Linked DNA regions of Drosophila melanogaster. The protein of the gene in region 1 interacts with the protein of each later gene in a pairwise test. Each region holds a gene or a part of one and is shown on either strand. Other genes may lie near its edges. The genes, in order: Rev1 and PolH.

Region 1 (8,082 bases):
TACGTAATGAATTAATATGTATAATATGGTAGTTCTAAGTATTCGCATAGGTTGCAGGAGGCAAAGAGATCCGTAGCCCAGAGGGGCGGTGGAGGGGATAGTTTAAATGCCGCTTAAATACTGCTGTAGTCTGTGGAGACCCTGCTCCGAGCACCACTTATGTGGAGGTCACGCCCTTGCGGGCCACCAGCATGTTGAGTATCGGGTTTTTCCGGATGTAGCTCACGGCCTTTTTGTGGGTGACCATGGTGAAGTCGTAGCCGTTGCACTGCAGGATCTTGTCGTGGATCCGCAGACCTGCTCGGGCGGCGGGACTGCCCTCGTGCACCTCGGTCACATAGATGCCCTATTTTCAAAGGGGAAAACGTAACATTGTAACATTGAAACTGCTCTTAAGATACCGAACTAAAACTAAATTCCCCGACTTTCAAGGAGAGCTATAATTATTAGCTTTAAGATTGAAGCTCTCTTTTATGCCCGGAATTAGGTTCTAGTGTTTCCCAAGTTTCTCACATAATCCGTGTATCCCTGAGGGCTTTTCTTGTAGTCCTGGTCGATTCCGCCGCCGATCTTGAAGCCGCACTTGAGGATCTCGCGCCCCTCCTGGTCGTAGTCCTTCTCCTTGTGCAGCGTGATGGGAATCTGGGAATTGTGAGTCACATTTCATCAATCACTCGAATTTGAAAGTGGCTTGTCTTTTTTGCTCCAGCGACCCAATTTCACCTATACACACACAGGCGACTGTGCGTGTGAGCCAGGTTTAGTTCGTTCGCAACTTACGCTCAAGCACTCCATCGCCGTGCCGGCCTGGTGCTGGAATGCCATTTTCGCCATGTCTACCGATGCTTTGACTAACTTTAATTTGCTAGATTAGCTAAGATTCCGCTGGTAAATTCGTCTTAAGATTGTCGCCCACAACAAACTCTGCTTCTTCCTCGCAATCATTTATCGATGGCGAAAAATCGATAGGTTGCAGCAATAATGCGATTGTTGCCAGCGACTGCCGCTGACTTTAAATATATACTTTTCATATAAAATAAAAACATGAAGGTCTTTACGATTGCTGTTTGGCAATGTTTCTTAGTTTTATTTATACTATATTATACATCTAGAGTCCCTATGCCTATGAGCGCCGCATGGCCAGCATGGTGTTGATCTCCCAGATGATGATGCGTGTCCGATCGATGATCTCGCGTAGCTGCCTGTTCTTCAGCTTGACGGTCTCTATGAGTTCATGGTTCTCCTGCAGGACTTTCCGGTACTCATCGCACAGCGAGGGCTCGATTCTCGGTTCCGGCTCATCGCGGTAGGGAATCAGACTCTCGGCGCTCATGTAATCCATTCCGGCGTCGTTGCACTTCTCGTAGATGATGCGCACCCTCTTGAAGAGCAGCCGGATGGTGCGGAAGTACTCCTGCACCTTCTTCTCGGAGCTGTTTTCCCTGTGCGAGGTGGGCTGGATGCCCTTGAGGGAGGCGAAGACCTCCTGGAAGCGCGAGGCGATATCCTGCACCGTTTCCTGACCGAGACGGGACAGCTGCACAATGTTAATCTCCTTGTGAGGATTTTGCTGCGAGATAGCCAGCATATTGTTGCTGCCCCCGGCTCCACCGGGTGGAATTCCTGCGACCGGATTGAGTTGCTGTTGCTGTTGGGGAATGTTCTGCTGGGGCATGTTTTGTTGGGGCTGCTGTTGCTGCTGCTGTGGAACCACTCCCCCTCCGCCCATTCCCACACCACCGCCCATTCCCACTCCGACGCCCACTCCTTGTTGGGGCACCATCATTTGCTGCTGCATCATCTGCTGCTGCTGCTGTTGCTGCATCTGGTGCTGCGGAGACATGCCGGGCATCAGGCCGCCAGGACCTCCAGGTCCTTGGGGATTCATCTGCATGCTACCCGGGCCGCCCATCATGCCCATTTGTTGTTGCTGCTGTTGATGTTGAGGCGACATGTGCATTTGCTGCATATTGCCGTGCTGCATGCCAAATCCACCCATCGGCATCATGTTGGGGCCCCCGCCTCCTCCGCCGCCGCTCGATGGTCCCTGATTACCCTGGTTTTGACCGTATTTCCACATTTTGCAACGTTCTTATAAAATAAACAAAATATCACGCAGAACGATAAACTTTGGCAAATGACACTGTTGTCGATAACATAAAACAAAACGGATAGTGTTAGATAACGCTGAAACTGTATGCTCGCAAACAGCTGTGAAGTCGCGGGTTTTAAATTACCAATCCTAAATGATAGATCTAGATCTAGATCTAGATTATCTTCACTAGATAAATTTGAGTGTTTTTACTAAGTTTTTATTTGGTGATTACTAAAATTTAAATTCTTAGTCAAATCCAAAATGGTAATAATAGCCCCCTGCAAAACTCGTTAGGAATGCGTCCATGCGAAAAGAGAGTTGCCACATGCGCGCAAAAATAATGAACATAGGTGTGTCAGCTGAGCGGTATTGGTGGAATTCAATTTTGGCTTTTTCATGCTTTTAAACGATTAAAAATGACCCGCGATGAGGATAATGGTTTTAGTGAATGGGTAAGATGTAGATAAAATGCTAAAAACATTGTACATAAACCAAACCTGCTCTTTTCAGGGCGGCTACTTCGAAGCCAAGAAATCTAAACTTGAGGAGCAGTTCGCTGCCGCCAGCGATCCATTTCGCAAGTCGGACCTCTTCCAAGGAATTTCTATATTTGTGAACGGCCGGACTGACCCTTCGGCGGATGAACTGAAGCGTATTATGATGGTGCACGGCGGGACCTTTCACCACTACGAAAGGAGCCACACGACGTACATAATAGCCTCCGTTCTGCCCGATGTGAAGGTCAGGAACATGAATCTCAGCAAGTTCATCAGCGCCAAGTGGGTGGTGGATTGTCTGGAGAAAAAGAAGATAGTAGACTACAAACCCTATCTGCTGTACACGAACCAGAAGACATCGCAGCCCATGCTCATCTTTGGGAAACCCAAAGACAACGGCGCAAATGAGAGCAAATCGGATGTGGAGCCGCCGAAAGATAAAGCGGAAGTGGAAGTAGACTCTACAAAAGATGAAACGCAAATGGAGTTGGGTGGCATTCTCAAGAATTTGCAGCAGGCTGTGGCCACTTCGCCGGAAAAGGAGGCCAGTGCATCAGAGAGCAAGATCACAAACTTATCCACCACCTCGAATAACTCCACCACCGCTCGCACAGCCGCGGATCCAAATTTCTTAAGTGAATTCTATAAGAACTCACGACTGCATCACATCGCCACTCTAGGCGCGGGTTTCAAGCAGTATGTCTGCCGGTTGCGTCAGAAGCATGGTACCCAGGGCTTTCCCAAAAGAGAGACACTGAAGTCCCTTGCTAATTCACACCACAATTGTTTGGAACGCTATGTGATGCACATTGACATGGACTGCTTCTTTGTGTCCGTGGGCCTAAGAACCCGTCCTGAGCTTCGTGGGCTGCCGATTGCGGTGACCCACTCGAAGGGAGGTAACGCAGCCACCGATGTACCGGTGCATCCGCAGGCGGACCGAAAGGCAGAGCTGGAACTCTTTGCCCAGCGCTTCGAGCACCATTTCCACGATGGAGACAAGGCGGAAAAGGTGCGCTCGGGCTTCGACAAGAAAATGTCGCTCTCGGAGATCGCCTCCTGCAGCTACGAGGCGCGGGAAAAGGGTATCCGCAATGGCATGTTTGTGGGCCAGGCCCTGAAGCTGTGCCCGGAGTTAAAGACGATTCCGTACGACTTCGAAGGCTACAAGGAGGTGGCTTTCACTCTGTACGACACAGTGGCTCAGTATACCTTAAATATCGAGGCTGTGAGTTGCGACGAGATGTTTGTGGAGCTAACCGATCTGGCACACGAACTCAATGTAGATGTGATGGCTTTTGTGAGTCACCTCAGGCAGGAGGTTTACTCCAAAACGGGATGTCCGTGCTCAGCAGGAGTGGCAGGCAACAAGTGAGAGACCAAATAAGCCTTTTACAATTATAATATATATTATATATATTATAGGTTGCTGGCGCGTATGGCCACCAAGGAGGCCAAGCCGAATGGCCAGTTCTTGTTGGATTCGAGCAATGATATTTTGGCCTATATGGCGCCGATGTCTTTGGATTTACTGCCCGGTGTGGGCAGCAGCATAAGCCATAAGCTCAAACAGGCGGGACTGAATAATTGTGGAGATGTTCAGAATACAACGTTGGAGAAGATGGAAAAAGTGCTGGGCAAGAAACTTGGACAGAATTTGTTCCAGAACTGCAGAGGAATTGATGATCGTCCTTTGGCTTACGAGCAGGTTGGTGTGCAGATTTTATTGCGTCCCACATATTTGTTTCTAATACCGTACTTTTCGTTTAGATCCGCAAAACAGTTTCTGCCGAAATGAACTTTGGTATTCGCTTTACCAACTCGGTCGAGTGCGAACAATTTCTGTGTCAGCTCAGCGAAGAGGTTACTAAGCGTCTGGTTGAGATAAGGCGCAAAGCTAGATCGATTAATCTGAAGATAATGGTGCGCGCCGCCGAAGCGCCAGTCGAAACCTCCAAGTACATGGGCCACGGAGTTTGCGATATAATCAACAAGTCCTCTCTGATCAAATATGCCACGGATGATGTAAATGTAATCACCACGGTGGTCCTCGACCTGATGAAAGACGCCGATATACCGCCCGACGAATTGCGTGGGCTAGGCATACATCTCACTAGGCTGGAGGATGCCAACGAAGTTCGGAAGGAGAACAATATCAAGGAGATGTTCGGCAAAATGTCCGAAATGAGGAAAGGTATTTAATCCGGCCAATTTTGTATACCGATTTTATTAAAATGTCGTACACGTTTCCTTTAGATAAACCAATACCCCAAGGAGCAGTTGGCGATAAGTCCATAGGCGATGATAAAGGTATTTAAGCTGAAAAATAATTTACTTCCCAACTTATTTAAGACCTGTATATCATCTATCTGCAGTCAACAAACCACTCGTGTTTGAAAATAAACCTAAGCCCCGTGAGCCCAGGAATGTTTTGAGTATGCTCACGGCAGCAGCGGTGAGCAGGAAATCGGTAACCGAAGACAGGAGTCAAAGAGGAACTTCAAAGCCGATAACTCGGCCATTATCCCTTGTACCAAAACTTGATGAGGATGTTTTGGCTCAGCTGCCGGAGGATATACGCCTCGAGGTGATTGCCAATAGGGAGGAACACCTCTGCATTGCCGAGTACGATGGATATCGTTCTCCACAATATCCGACCCTCCGCTCACCGCCTTTATTAAATCCATATGTCACCACCAATGTGAGCCCGCTAAAGGCCACCGATCTTAAGCCATCGACTTCCCGGGCGGCTGTGGCTAGATTGCAAAAGCGCAAGGAGCGCAAGGAGCAAGAGCATTACATCCGATCGGATCAGATTGTGGCAGACTACATTGATGATCTGCCTGATTTCGTGAATCCCCATATTCTGAAGCTCATCTCACATCCCGTGGAGATGCCCGAGCTGCTGATGGGGGACAACTACAAGGACTTGCTGAACGATTGGGTCAGTCGCGAGGAGGTGCCAAAGCCGAATGACGTGGATCTTATTCTCAAGCAGGTTTCTCGTATGATTAAGAACGACCAATTGGACCACGTGTGCGATGTGATGAAGTATTGGTGCCGGTAAATAGTTCCATCAAAACACTTTTAATTTCTGCTCAACATTTTTGCTACCTTTCATTTGCAGGATCATCAATATGAAACGCAGCAGCTCTTGCTGCTGGCACGTGGCTTATAAGCACATTGAGGAGAGTATCCAGAACCAAATGCTTACGATTGAGGGTTACAGTCTGTTATTCATTGAGTACATTCGTTGCATAAAGTGCTCCTAAGACCCTGGACATTTAGAACGGATATTGGGTGTCATTGAGAATAGTTATTATAATAATGTAACGCCAAGCTATGAATGCGGCCAGCTGATAATGTTAATGAGCCATTAGTTTATAAGCCATCCATTAATTCGAGCCAAAAATAAAACATTCTGGTAAAGAAAATTCAATCCATACCATATAACTGACTTGTTGTAACCTACACTTCTAATACTTTTCCATATCTTACTAAATCCTATATATAGATATAGAGCATGCTCCTATTCATCTACAACTTCGGGGACAGGTAGCAATTATTATTGCAAGTGCGGTAAATAAAGTGGGGCTGTGGCCGCTGCGACGATGGCGTTGATAACTTCATACGCAAAGGGCAGAGCTGCATCTTAGCCACCGCCGGGTGGCTCAACCAAACGCCCCAGTGTGGCTCTTTCCCACCAAGGCTCGGCCACTCAAGACAAATAGGCCAGGCGGGCACAACACCTGGCGGAACTGGCAAGTCATAATTTGCACTTTAATGAAAGCGGCATCGATTCGAACAGGTTAGTGTTGAACAGTTCTCTAAAGTCACTGCAGTTAATCGCTGCGACGGCTGTAATATGTAATTGATTCGCATGCGGCATACCTACACTCAAAAAAATTAGCCTTAGGTTTCATAAAGCAATCTACATTATAAGGATTTTTGTTTAGGGCTAGATCAATATAAAAAATATATTTTATGAAAGTGTAGAACACATTTTTGGTAAATTTTTTATTGATTTTACTTTATGTGTTCTCAATTCTTTTCGAATAGTCAGCGACCACCTGCCCCAATCTCAATCCCAATCCCAATCCCAGCCCATCCCATCCGCAACCGCATGACAACCATAACAATTACAGTGCTCATGCCAGGAAGGCAGAGGTGGGAAAACTTGGGATCATACGAAGATATGTACCTATTTTTAGAATCCATATGGGTAGAGTTAGTGAATGAGTGTCCTATGGACTTAGTACCATATACATGAAATGATAGGTAAAGAATTATAAATAATATTATTAATCCTTATTAGATTTTTATTTTGCATTAGAAATCATTACCTATTTCCAAGGTACTTCAGCTAAGTAATTGTTTATCCGACATGTACAATATAACTCGTATCCCACCTGGCCAATAAATTCTCACAATGTCCATCACTGACCACTGGCCACCCCACTTTGGCTGGCAGCTGGAGCTGAAGATGGAGCAGATGTTGCCCGGTAATTAAAAATAGTCAAGCTGCATTTCTGGCTCAGCATCCGGTGTCGATGTGGCTGGTGTCTCTGTGGGTTGGCTTGACTCTGGATGGGATGTGATGGGATGGGACGAAATGGGCTGCACCCGGCACTCGGGATTTACATGAGCTACGCTTTGTCTGATTTAATTATGTGCGCAAAAGGCGTCGTTGTTTCATAAATTTTATGCATCCTGTCGTCGCGGAACTCGGTAGCAGCAACATGCAGCAGCCGCTGCAACTTGCCCCATGATGTGGTCGAGTTATCTCAAGTTGGCCCGGACCAGATGCAAATGTTGTCAAGCCTTGATAGACTCGTTGGCTGCCGACGCGATTTGTCAACGACTCCACGGCGGCTGGTTTGGGTTGCTTAAGTTTGGAGTGGAGTGATGTGGTGAGGGCAGGTGCCCAGATTCTTGGGAGTGCTGAGTTTTCATTGCATGGGCTATCCCTATGAACGTTTTATAATAGACAGATACAGCTTAGTGCACTCCCTCTTGCAAACATTTCATTATTAGTTTCCCAAAAGCTAAGAAAGTGGGCGGGGTTACCACACTTTGTCAACTTAAATACAACGATAGATTTTAGTAAAGTGACTTGACAGATATTAAGAAAAACTGCAGTTTACTGCAGGAGATGTACAAATATCGGTGGACATATGGGAGAGTGTGGGCAGTCGGTAGCAACATGAGGCCAAGTCGGAGTCTCAGCGTGCTGCCAGGTTTATTCCCACGCTCGTGAAGTCAGCCGAACGAACAACAGTAGCTGCCGGAGCAGCTGGAAACTGTCAGCATTATCGGACGTGACTATGCGACAAGATCCCTGCCAGAGCTTTGCTATATGCTGCTATATGGTTTGAGCCCTATGCAAGTGTGTATGCTGGCTCTGCCGAGGATTTGAGACTCAGATGGTGATAGTGCCCGAGGTTGCTGCAGTTTCGGCTACTACCAAATAAGTAGCGGCAGACGATGCGG
Region 2 (7,733 bases), about 21 Mb from region 1:
AAAAAAAGGAATTTTGTACAGTATTTCAGAACATAATTTTGAGCTCAGACCTCCAACTTCGAAATACCTCTCGTAGCTTAATAAATATTTCGTGTACGCCATTGCTAAGAACGTGAATTTTCAAAATGAGCGAATTCAACTATTCTCAATTCAAAGTACGTGTGAGCGACAAAAGATTTGAAATACAGTTCCATTGCAGTTTGGCATTTTCTGCGATGATGAATGGAAGCTATCTATGGTGGGAACCATAAACAACTTGGGACAATTCTTCGGCATTCCCATCGGGGGCTTTGTGGCGGATCGGTAAGGGTACACCACACCTTAACCTTATGCTCCTTGATCATCACACATCATTTTAAACAGATATGGACGGAGTTTCTCAATCGCTCTCGGCGGAATATTGGGAGCCGTGCTTGGCGTAATTCGCTCCTTCTCGCCCAGCTACGGTTGGTTCCTTGTGTTCGAGTTCCTGGACAACATGACCAGCAGTACGTTGTACTCCACCTGTTTCGTGATCGGGATCGAGCTAGTGGGACCCAAGCGACGCGTGCTGGCGTGCAGTGTGATTACGGTCTTTTACGCGGTGGGTGAGGTGCTGCTCGCGATGTCCGCCAAGGCGTTCCACGATTGGCGGATCCTACTGCGCATCACGTACGGGCCCTCGCTGATCTTGCTGGCCTACTTTTGGATCCTGCCGGAGAGTGTGCGCTGGCTGCTTAGTCAGGGCAAGGAGGAGCGGGCCAAGAATATCCTTCGGCGAGCCGCCCATGTGAACAAGCGCGAGCTGCCGGAGAGCGTGCTGGACAAGCTTGTGCTGGCCAATCGGGACAAGTTGCAGCAGTCGTCGGAAAGCCGTTTCCCCATACGAGAGGCTTTCAAGAACTTCAAGTGGCGCATTGCTAACTGCTCCCTCTGCTGGATTGTCCACGTGCTGGTCTACTACGGATTGAGCCTTAATGTTGTGCTGTTGGATGGAGACAAGTACAATAACTTCGCTTACATCGCCCTGGTTGAGATTCCAGGCTTCTTCATGCCCCTGCTCATCATGGACCGTTTCGGCCGGCGGTACTCCCTCTGCGGGCTGATGCTAGCCAGCGGTCTTTGCTGCATCGGAACGATATTCACCGGCGCGGATCAGCCAGTGCTTCAATTGGTGCTATTTCTTGTTGGCAAACTGACCATCACTGCCAGCTTCCAGGTGCTCTATTTCTTCGCCTCAGAGATCTATCCCACGAATCTGAGAAACAGTCTGCTTAGCTTCTGCTCCATGATGGGCAGGTTTGGTTCCATGCTGGCCCCGCAGACGCCTCTTCTGGTGGGTGCTCAAAGCTACAAGGATCTCCTGTTATATCTAAGTGCTTCCTTTCCCTTTCTCCACAGGCCAAGTATTATGCCAATGCTCCTGCCATGCTCTTCGCCGGCGCCGCCATCGTGAGCGGCCTGCTCACGCTGTTCTTTCCAGAGACCACCAACGTAGTTTTACCTACAACAGTGCAGGAAGCGGACGCCATAGGCGTCAAGAAGCAATCGAAGAGCAAGGATCTTGATCTAGTCGTCACGGCCACTCAAGCGCAGTAGTTCTAACGTAATCTTATTTTAAGGCAGCCTGCAAATACAAAGACAAATACATTTCTCTTCAAATGTGTTATAACGCTAAGAACAAACCATACTATACATATAAAATATTTAGCATTGACAGAGCGTTGTGTTTTATTAATTAACGGATGGATGGTAATGGTAATGATCAACATTAATACTTAAGCCTAAAATTGGAAAAATAAAACAAAAAAAATTAAATCTAAGAGTTTCATTACTCGATTTGAAAAAAAAAATAATAAACAGCAGTAAAAAAAAGAAATAAACAATCCTAATCAATTTGCTGTCCAGAGCCAGATTGAGATTTTAATAACTAGGATATGTGCTAGCAAAAAATTATTATTGTTTTTTAATTTGGAATTGAATGTGAAAATGTTTTAATCTTAAAGTGAAGTAAATTTGTCTGTGGTCCATTCGTAGGTACTTATACAGGTTCAAATACTTGGAGCGGTGTAAGGGTTTCTCTAATTGCTTTGGCTGAAAAACTGGGCAATTGTCTTTGTTCCGCTTGAAGATGCAGAAATGGTTGAGTTCAGTTTCTTCTGAGATTGTTTCTTTGGCTGAACTGGAGATATTTTTTCTTTATTCAGAGCTGCGGTTCGAGTTCGCAGATCCTGCTGGTTTAGTTCACGTTGAAGGTTTCTGGCTACGTGGTAGTCTAAGTGTTCCGGCATGTCTACACACTTGATGAAAGCCTTACACTCGGGGCACTGATTCATCTGTGGATCACTGGGCGCTTGCTCCTGAGTTGGTTTGGCGCGGAAGAACTTGGTTATGCTGTTACTCGGTGGTGCCGTACTGTAGGAACTGCTACCAGAACCAGCCGTCTTCTTGCTCTTTTTGGGTGGCGTCGGCTTAAGAGATATCTTCTGTCGGCTCTGCGTCCTCTCTTCCCGCTCGGTGCTTCTTAGCGTTCGGCTTAGTTCCTGGGCGAAGTGATGGTCTCTATGTGTTTGTAGGGACTTAACTTCGTCGGGAATGTTTGCTCCGCACTGATCGCATTTGATAGTAGGCAAGATATCGGTGCGAAGGTTGGGTACTGCAAACTCTACGTAACACTCCTTGTAATTACTTACAGAACTTTCGATCTCATCGAACTTTCTTTTTGATGTTGAAGGCTTCAATTCGTCTTCAGTAAGCGTGGGAGGCACAATACCAGTTTCAACGTATAAGTCATTCCCTGTTGAATCATTCAAGGTGTTTGGATCCTGTTCTTGTCCGGCATCGGATGACTGTCCTTCAGGCTTAGACATGTGGGTATCACTAGTTAACTCCGTCTCCTCTTCAGTGTCTTCTTCAAAATCTTTCGAATTGTCAGCCTCAATGGCGTCCAATTCCTCGGCCAGCTCCTGCACATCTAAGGAGTCCTCCCTCGATGTAACCGACCCTTGCTGTCCTGTCTTTTTTTGTTGTTTTAGGTACTGTGAAAAAAAGCTTTCCTTGAACTCCGCTGGTGTTGATGTGAGAACAGTTCCTTCAGTCCTTACGGCCGCATGAAGCTTATGTTTGTATTCCTCTACGAAATTCTTGTTTGGAGCACCTGCTGCAGCAGCCAAGGGATTCGCAGAAATGCCGTCTGCTTTCGCATCCTCTTTTTTAGCTCCTTGCAAATAGTTTGCAAAGAAGCTCTTCATCTTAAATTCGTCCGTTTGCTTCTGCTTTTTCTCCATTTCAACTTTAGGCAGTTGCCCTGGCTCATCTCCACTTACCCTTCGTTTCTTGGCAGCCTGGTTAGCAAACATCTCCTGCAGCTTGTTTTGCCCACTAGAGACGGTTTCGAACTTGCCAACACTAATGCCAAGGAACTTGATAGCATTGTTTAAAGCAGACTCGCTACCAGGACGCAGAAACGTTTTAGTGTTTGCCTTGATTAGGTCTAGAGAAAGCCTTACGATGGACTCCTGGTCGTAATCTCTGAGAGCAGTCGAGCGGGAGCTGGCCACCTCCTCGCCGTCAATGTCCTGCACATATTGCACCACCATATGTTTGGCCCTGCGATTGTTCTCGATGAAGTCCTTCTCAAGGCGGTCGTTGATCTCGGAGGAAAGCTCACCAAGCCAATGTTGAAGGGTTTTCAACCCCGTAATGTTATTTCGACCCGGAAACTTTTTACAGCAGCCAATGCTTTTCGAATAGAAGCGGGGAGTCACGGCTTCCAGGTCTATGCCGCGAGAGATGTTAAATAGCCAGGTTCTGGAATAAGAGGAAATAAGTTACTTTGAACGTGGTCTACTCCTCTTAAGGGACCCACCCATTCTTCTCGTCAAACTTGCGCTGCAGATCTACCTCCGAAAACTTGACCACCTGGCCCATGAACTTTATGCCTAATGTCTCACACACCACCTCACCGAATTTGCCACCCAGCCCCTTGATCTTGCCAACAGGCAAGGAGTCGAAGAGGCTGGCGGTCTCCGTCAACGGCAAAATAGTCTGCTTGTTGGGCTTGTTCATTCCAGCTGCCAACTTGGCCAGGATCTTATTGTGCGCTATGCCAGCCGAGCACTCGTAGCCTGTCTCTTTTTTTACAGCCGCGCGGACTTCACCTGCCACAGAGGCTCCAATAAGAAGCCGAATGTCGCTTTGTCGGACGGCGGGAAGGTCGTTTTGGTCGTAGGACATCTGGTAGCGTTCGTCGTCCATGTAGGGATTGGCGAAGCGATTTGTTATCTTGTTGACGTAGTCGCCAATGCTGGGATAGCCCACAGCAAAGGTGTTCACCAGTTCCTGCGGTTGCAATGCAAAGGCTCCCTGCAACGAGGAAAATAATAATAAAACGCTTTAAAATTATGTGCCAGAGCTTACACTCTGCATCTGCTGCATGCGATGGTTAACGGTCTCCGTTATGTCCAAGTACGCCTCATCCACGGAAGCGCGCTCCAGGAGCTGCGTAAATCGCTGCAGCACGTTGGCCACCTCCTTGCCGGCATCGCGGTACTTGCTAGTATCGGCCTTCTCCCGGATATTCGGCACCTGGCAGAGCACGATCTCCGGACACAGGTCCTTCGCCTCGTCGCCGCGCATGTGGCGAGTGACTCCCTTGGCACGAGCGGCGTAGTTCACTGCTATGATGCCGCCACCTCGCCAGGGATTGTACTGGACGACGGCCAGCGGGCGGTTGCGGTATTCCGGATGCTGCTTCTCCTCCACCTGGCAAAAGAAGCAGTCCATGTCCACCAGCAGGACCACGCGGTCGTACTTGTTCTGCATGCTGACATGGCTGCGTGCGCTGGACATGATTTCATTTCGTATTATTGCGCGAATTTCACTGCGCGCCAGGAGTGTGGCCGTGGCGGGGACTTCTTAAAATACCGATGCATTTTTGAATACTGAATACATTAAAGTGTTTCCCATATTTAAATCTGATAAAAGAATTCGGAATAATAATAATAAAAATATGCTCTTTAACACATATCAAAGCAGTTGTGTTATATCTTCGATATAAATCATTTCTTAGTTAGATATTCCTTAAAGTAAAAGTAAAGAATTTTGTTGAAAACATATTTTCGATAGTAGTGGAGCTTTATACTTTTAAAGACTCTCTTATTACTAAGCTATTTAGAAATTCAAAATTAGAGAGTATTAAATAACGTACCCTTGTATCGATGCTTTGTAGTCTAGCGTAGTTTGAAAAATACTTATCTCTACCCAATCCGTACTTCGCATTAGAGCAAAACCTGGTCACACTATATTGGATATTTTATAGTTTGTCGTTTCTCACTCGGAAATAATATAAACAAACGCGAGTAAATATTATGTGCAGTCCGGGGAGTCCTGGGAGTTATATTTACGTGGCATAACTACCACCTAATAATAAGTAACATATATTGTCGGAACATCTACGCCGAAGAAGAATGCATTTCAGAAATCCTTAAACCCTGTCTTCTGTTTTTCTGTATGGAATAATAAAACGAGTTTAAACGTAAGACATTGCCAAAGAGTAAATTATTTGCCAAGTTTCCAGCGGCACCTTCTAACAAAATGCTTAGATATTGATTTTTCCATATAAGCCGCTGCCAAAATGCAACTGAAAACGCACACACATCTCTTAGTGACCCCATTCCCCGCCGTAACACACATTTGCATGTTCTGGCTTCTCCATTTCCCAAGTTCATTTGGGTTAACGCACGGATTACGCGGGAATTATTGATTTGACCGAGCGACCAGAAATAAATCTCAATCCTTGTCTATTTCCGGCTATGCCACTTCCGTGTCCGCCTCCTGGCCGGCTGTTTTGATTGATGCGCCGAGTGGTATGTCCAGCGAATGTCCAATGGCTTAATTGGGCTAACTCACGTATAGCTACTCGGAATCGGGGTTGGGATACCGGGCCCACTTTAATCGCCTCATAGAATGCCGGTGGTGGTGGGCGGCGGAAATCAGGAAGGGCGTGTTTTTGTATACTATCGTGACCTAATTTCCTGTCTGTTTACTCTATGGTCAAAGCGTACAATACAACAACGCAGGACTTCCACCTGAAGTAAAGGTGCAGCACTGACCTATTGGAATACTTGATGCCGCACGACGTTGGGACGGGTTCTTGTTTTACCAAATGTACCACTCTCTCTTTTAAAAAAGGTGTTCAAAAGTTCGATTGCATATCTATGATTCTGAAAGACGGATGGTGAATGAAAAAGGTGTACTGCGAGTGATATTTTTGGATTTTCAATTTAAAATGTATTTATCACAGTTTTATTTGCTTCCCTACTTTTTGTGACTCCAGATAGTATACATACATATATCGTAGATTAACAAAATTTTTACCGATTAAAGATTTAATTTTGATCGCGACTTTATCTACAATCCCGAAATATTCTGCGGCTAACTCTTATTAAATTTAAGTGCTTCACTTTTTAACTGCCCTATCCTAGCCTAGCTTGCCCATATGCGCTAGCCTTAGGCCTCATCGGCACATCCACTCTTCCGATCCCTAACCCCAGTATAAGCGCACAATTATGCTAATGGTTCACATGCCCAAATAAGAACCACTTGAGCCCCGCTAAGCGGTCCGCCAATCCACTGTCACTCGGACTTCTCCCTTTCTCTGTCCCACGCTCAGTCAGAGAACTCCCTGCTCTAGTGGCTGATTCACGGTGAGGCCATCAGTCTGTGTACGTCCGGCGATGAAGTCACTCCACTAAGCTGAGGGCTTAGTTTGTAATTCTAGAGTGCCGTAAAAAAAGAATTCATCGTCTTTTTTGTAGAGAGCCACCATGGTGAAGATCCTGCAGGCCTACAACTTTGCCAGGCAGCAGACGTATGCCCTCAACGGTGACATCCTGGCGGCCAGCCTTATCGGGAACAACCGCATAGCCATCAGCAGTGCTGAACAGTTCATCGAGATCTACGACATAGGTGCCAAGCAGGCTCAATCTGAGGACCACACAAGAACGGCACCAGAGGACGTTGGACAATCCAATGAGACGGCAGGAGAATCCACCACCACCGCTGGTGATGAGAGGACGCCGAGCAGGAGCACGCTGGCCACGGTGGGAGAAGTGGTGCAACTTATTTACTGTGAAGCTGGTGAGTATATATTATGTATATGTATCTGAAAACGCTACTAAAGATGAATCTTCCTCAGGCAAATACCTACTTACTCTTGAAAAGGAACAGGCGGGCAGTCCGGTGCACTCCTCCTCCACCATTAGCTGCACATCAAGCAGCAACAGCAATACAGTCTGCTCTGAGGACGACACGAAGATGTTCGTACGCATCTACGCCAACTTCTGGAAGTTCCCGGACAGCCGGCTAAACGAGCTGCCCATTACCATTCGAATAGCTTCGATGACCACGCCCAAGACACCGTTGGTGGAGAGCATCGATGTGATTGAGCTGCCGTTGCGCAGTCCGCCGGAGCTGGTGCAATGCTGCCAGACATCCGGAAACATCATTGTGAGCAGTCGTGACAGGATTTACCTCTACGAATACACCCAGTGCGTTCATGAGAACACGCAGCCTAGGTTCGCTTTCATCGACTTTCTGCCCTTTAAGTTCTTCGTGCAACTAAACTTCGTCCCTGTGCGTCTGTGTCTAGCCGAGAACGTAATCGCCTGTCTCAGCAATCGCTACTGCGTGGCCTTTAAGGTTGTGGATGCACTTACTAGCAGAGCCAGTGGAGGGCAGGATGTAAGCTGTCT

The links.
Region 2: the proteins of Rev1 (region 1) and PolH interact in a two-hybrid assay, tested with the Drosophila melanogaster proteins (one study listed by BioGRID).

What each region holds. Positions count from the first base shown.
Region 1 is NT_037436.4:651,931-660,012, forward strand, and holds Rev1 (DNA polymerase Rev1), read left to right. Parts: upstream 1-2,432; 5' UTR 2,433-2,511; coding exon 2,512-2,547; intron 2,548-2,605; coding exon 2,606-3,963; intron 3,964-4,017; coding exon 4,018-4,300; intron 4,301-4,362; coding exon 4,363-4,786; intron 4,787-4,848; coding exon 4,849-4,902; intron 4,903-4,967; coding exon 4,968-5,655; intron 5,656-5,719; coding exon 5,720-5,864; 3' UTR 5,865-6,041; downstream 6,042-8,082. Other genes in the region: CG3402 (uncharacterized protein), read right to left, coding at 158-346, 514-642, 781-834; MED30 (mediator complex subunit 30), read right to left, coding at 1,124-2,080. UniProt on the Drosophila melanogaster protein: Deoxycytidyl transferase involved in DNA repair. Transfers a dCMP residue from dCTP to the 3'-end of a DNA primer in a template-dependent reaction.
Region 2 is NT_037436.4:21,936,940-21,944,672, forward strand, and holds PolH (DNA polymerase eta), read right to left. Parts: upstream 4,874-7,733; 5' UTR 4,831-4,873; coding exon 4,399-4,830; intron 4,345-4,398; coding exon 3,848-4,344; intron 3,790-3,847; coding exon 2,061-3,789; 3' UTR 1,695-2,060; downstream 1-1,694. Other genes in the region: SLC22A family member, read left to right, coding at 200-303, 364-1,315, 1,381-1,578; CG14562 (uncharacterized protein), read left to right, coding at 6,807-7,119, 7,178-7,733. UniProt on the Drosophila melanogaster protein: DNA polymerase specifically involved in the DNA repair by translesion synthesis (TLS). Plays an important role in translesion synthesis, where the normal high-fidelity DNA polymerases cannot proceed and DNA synthesis stalls.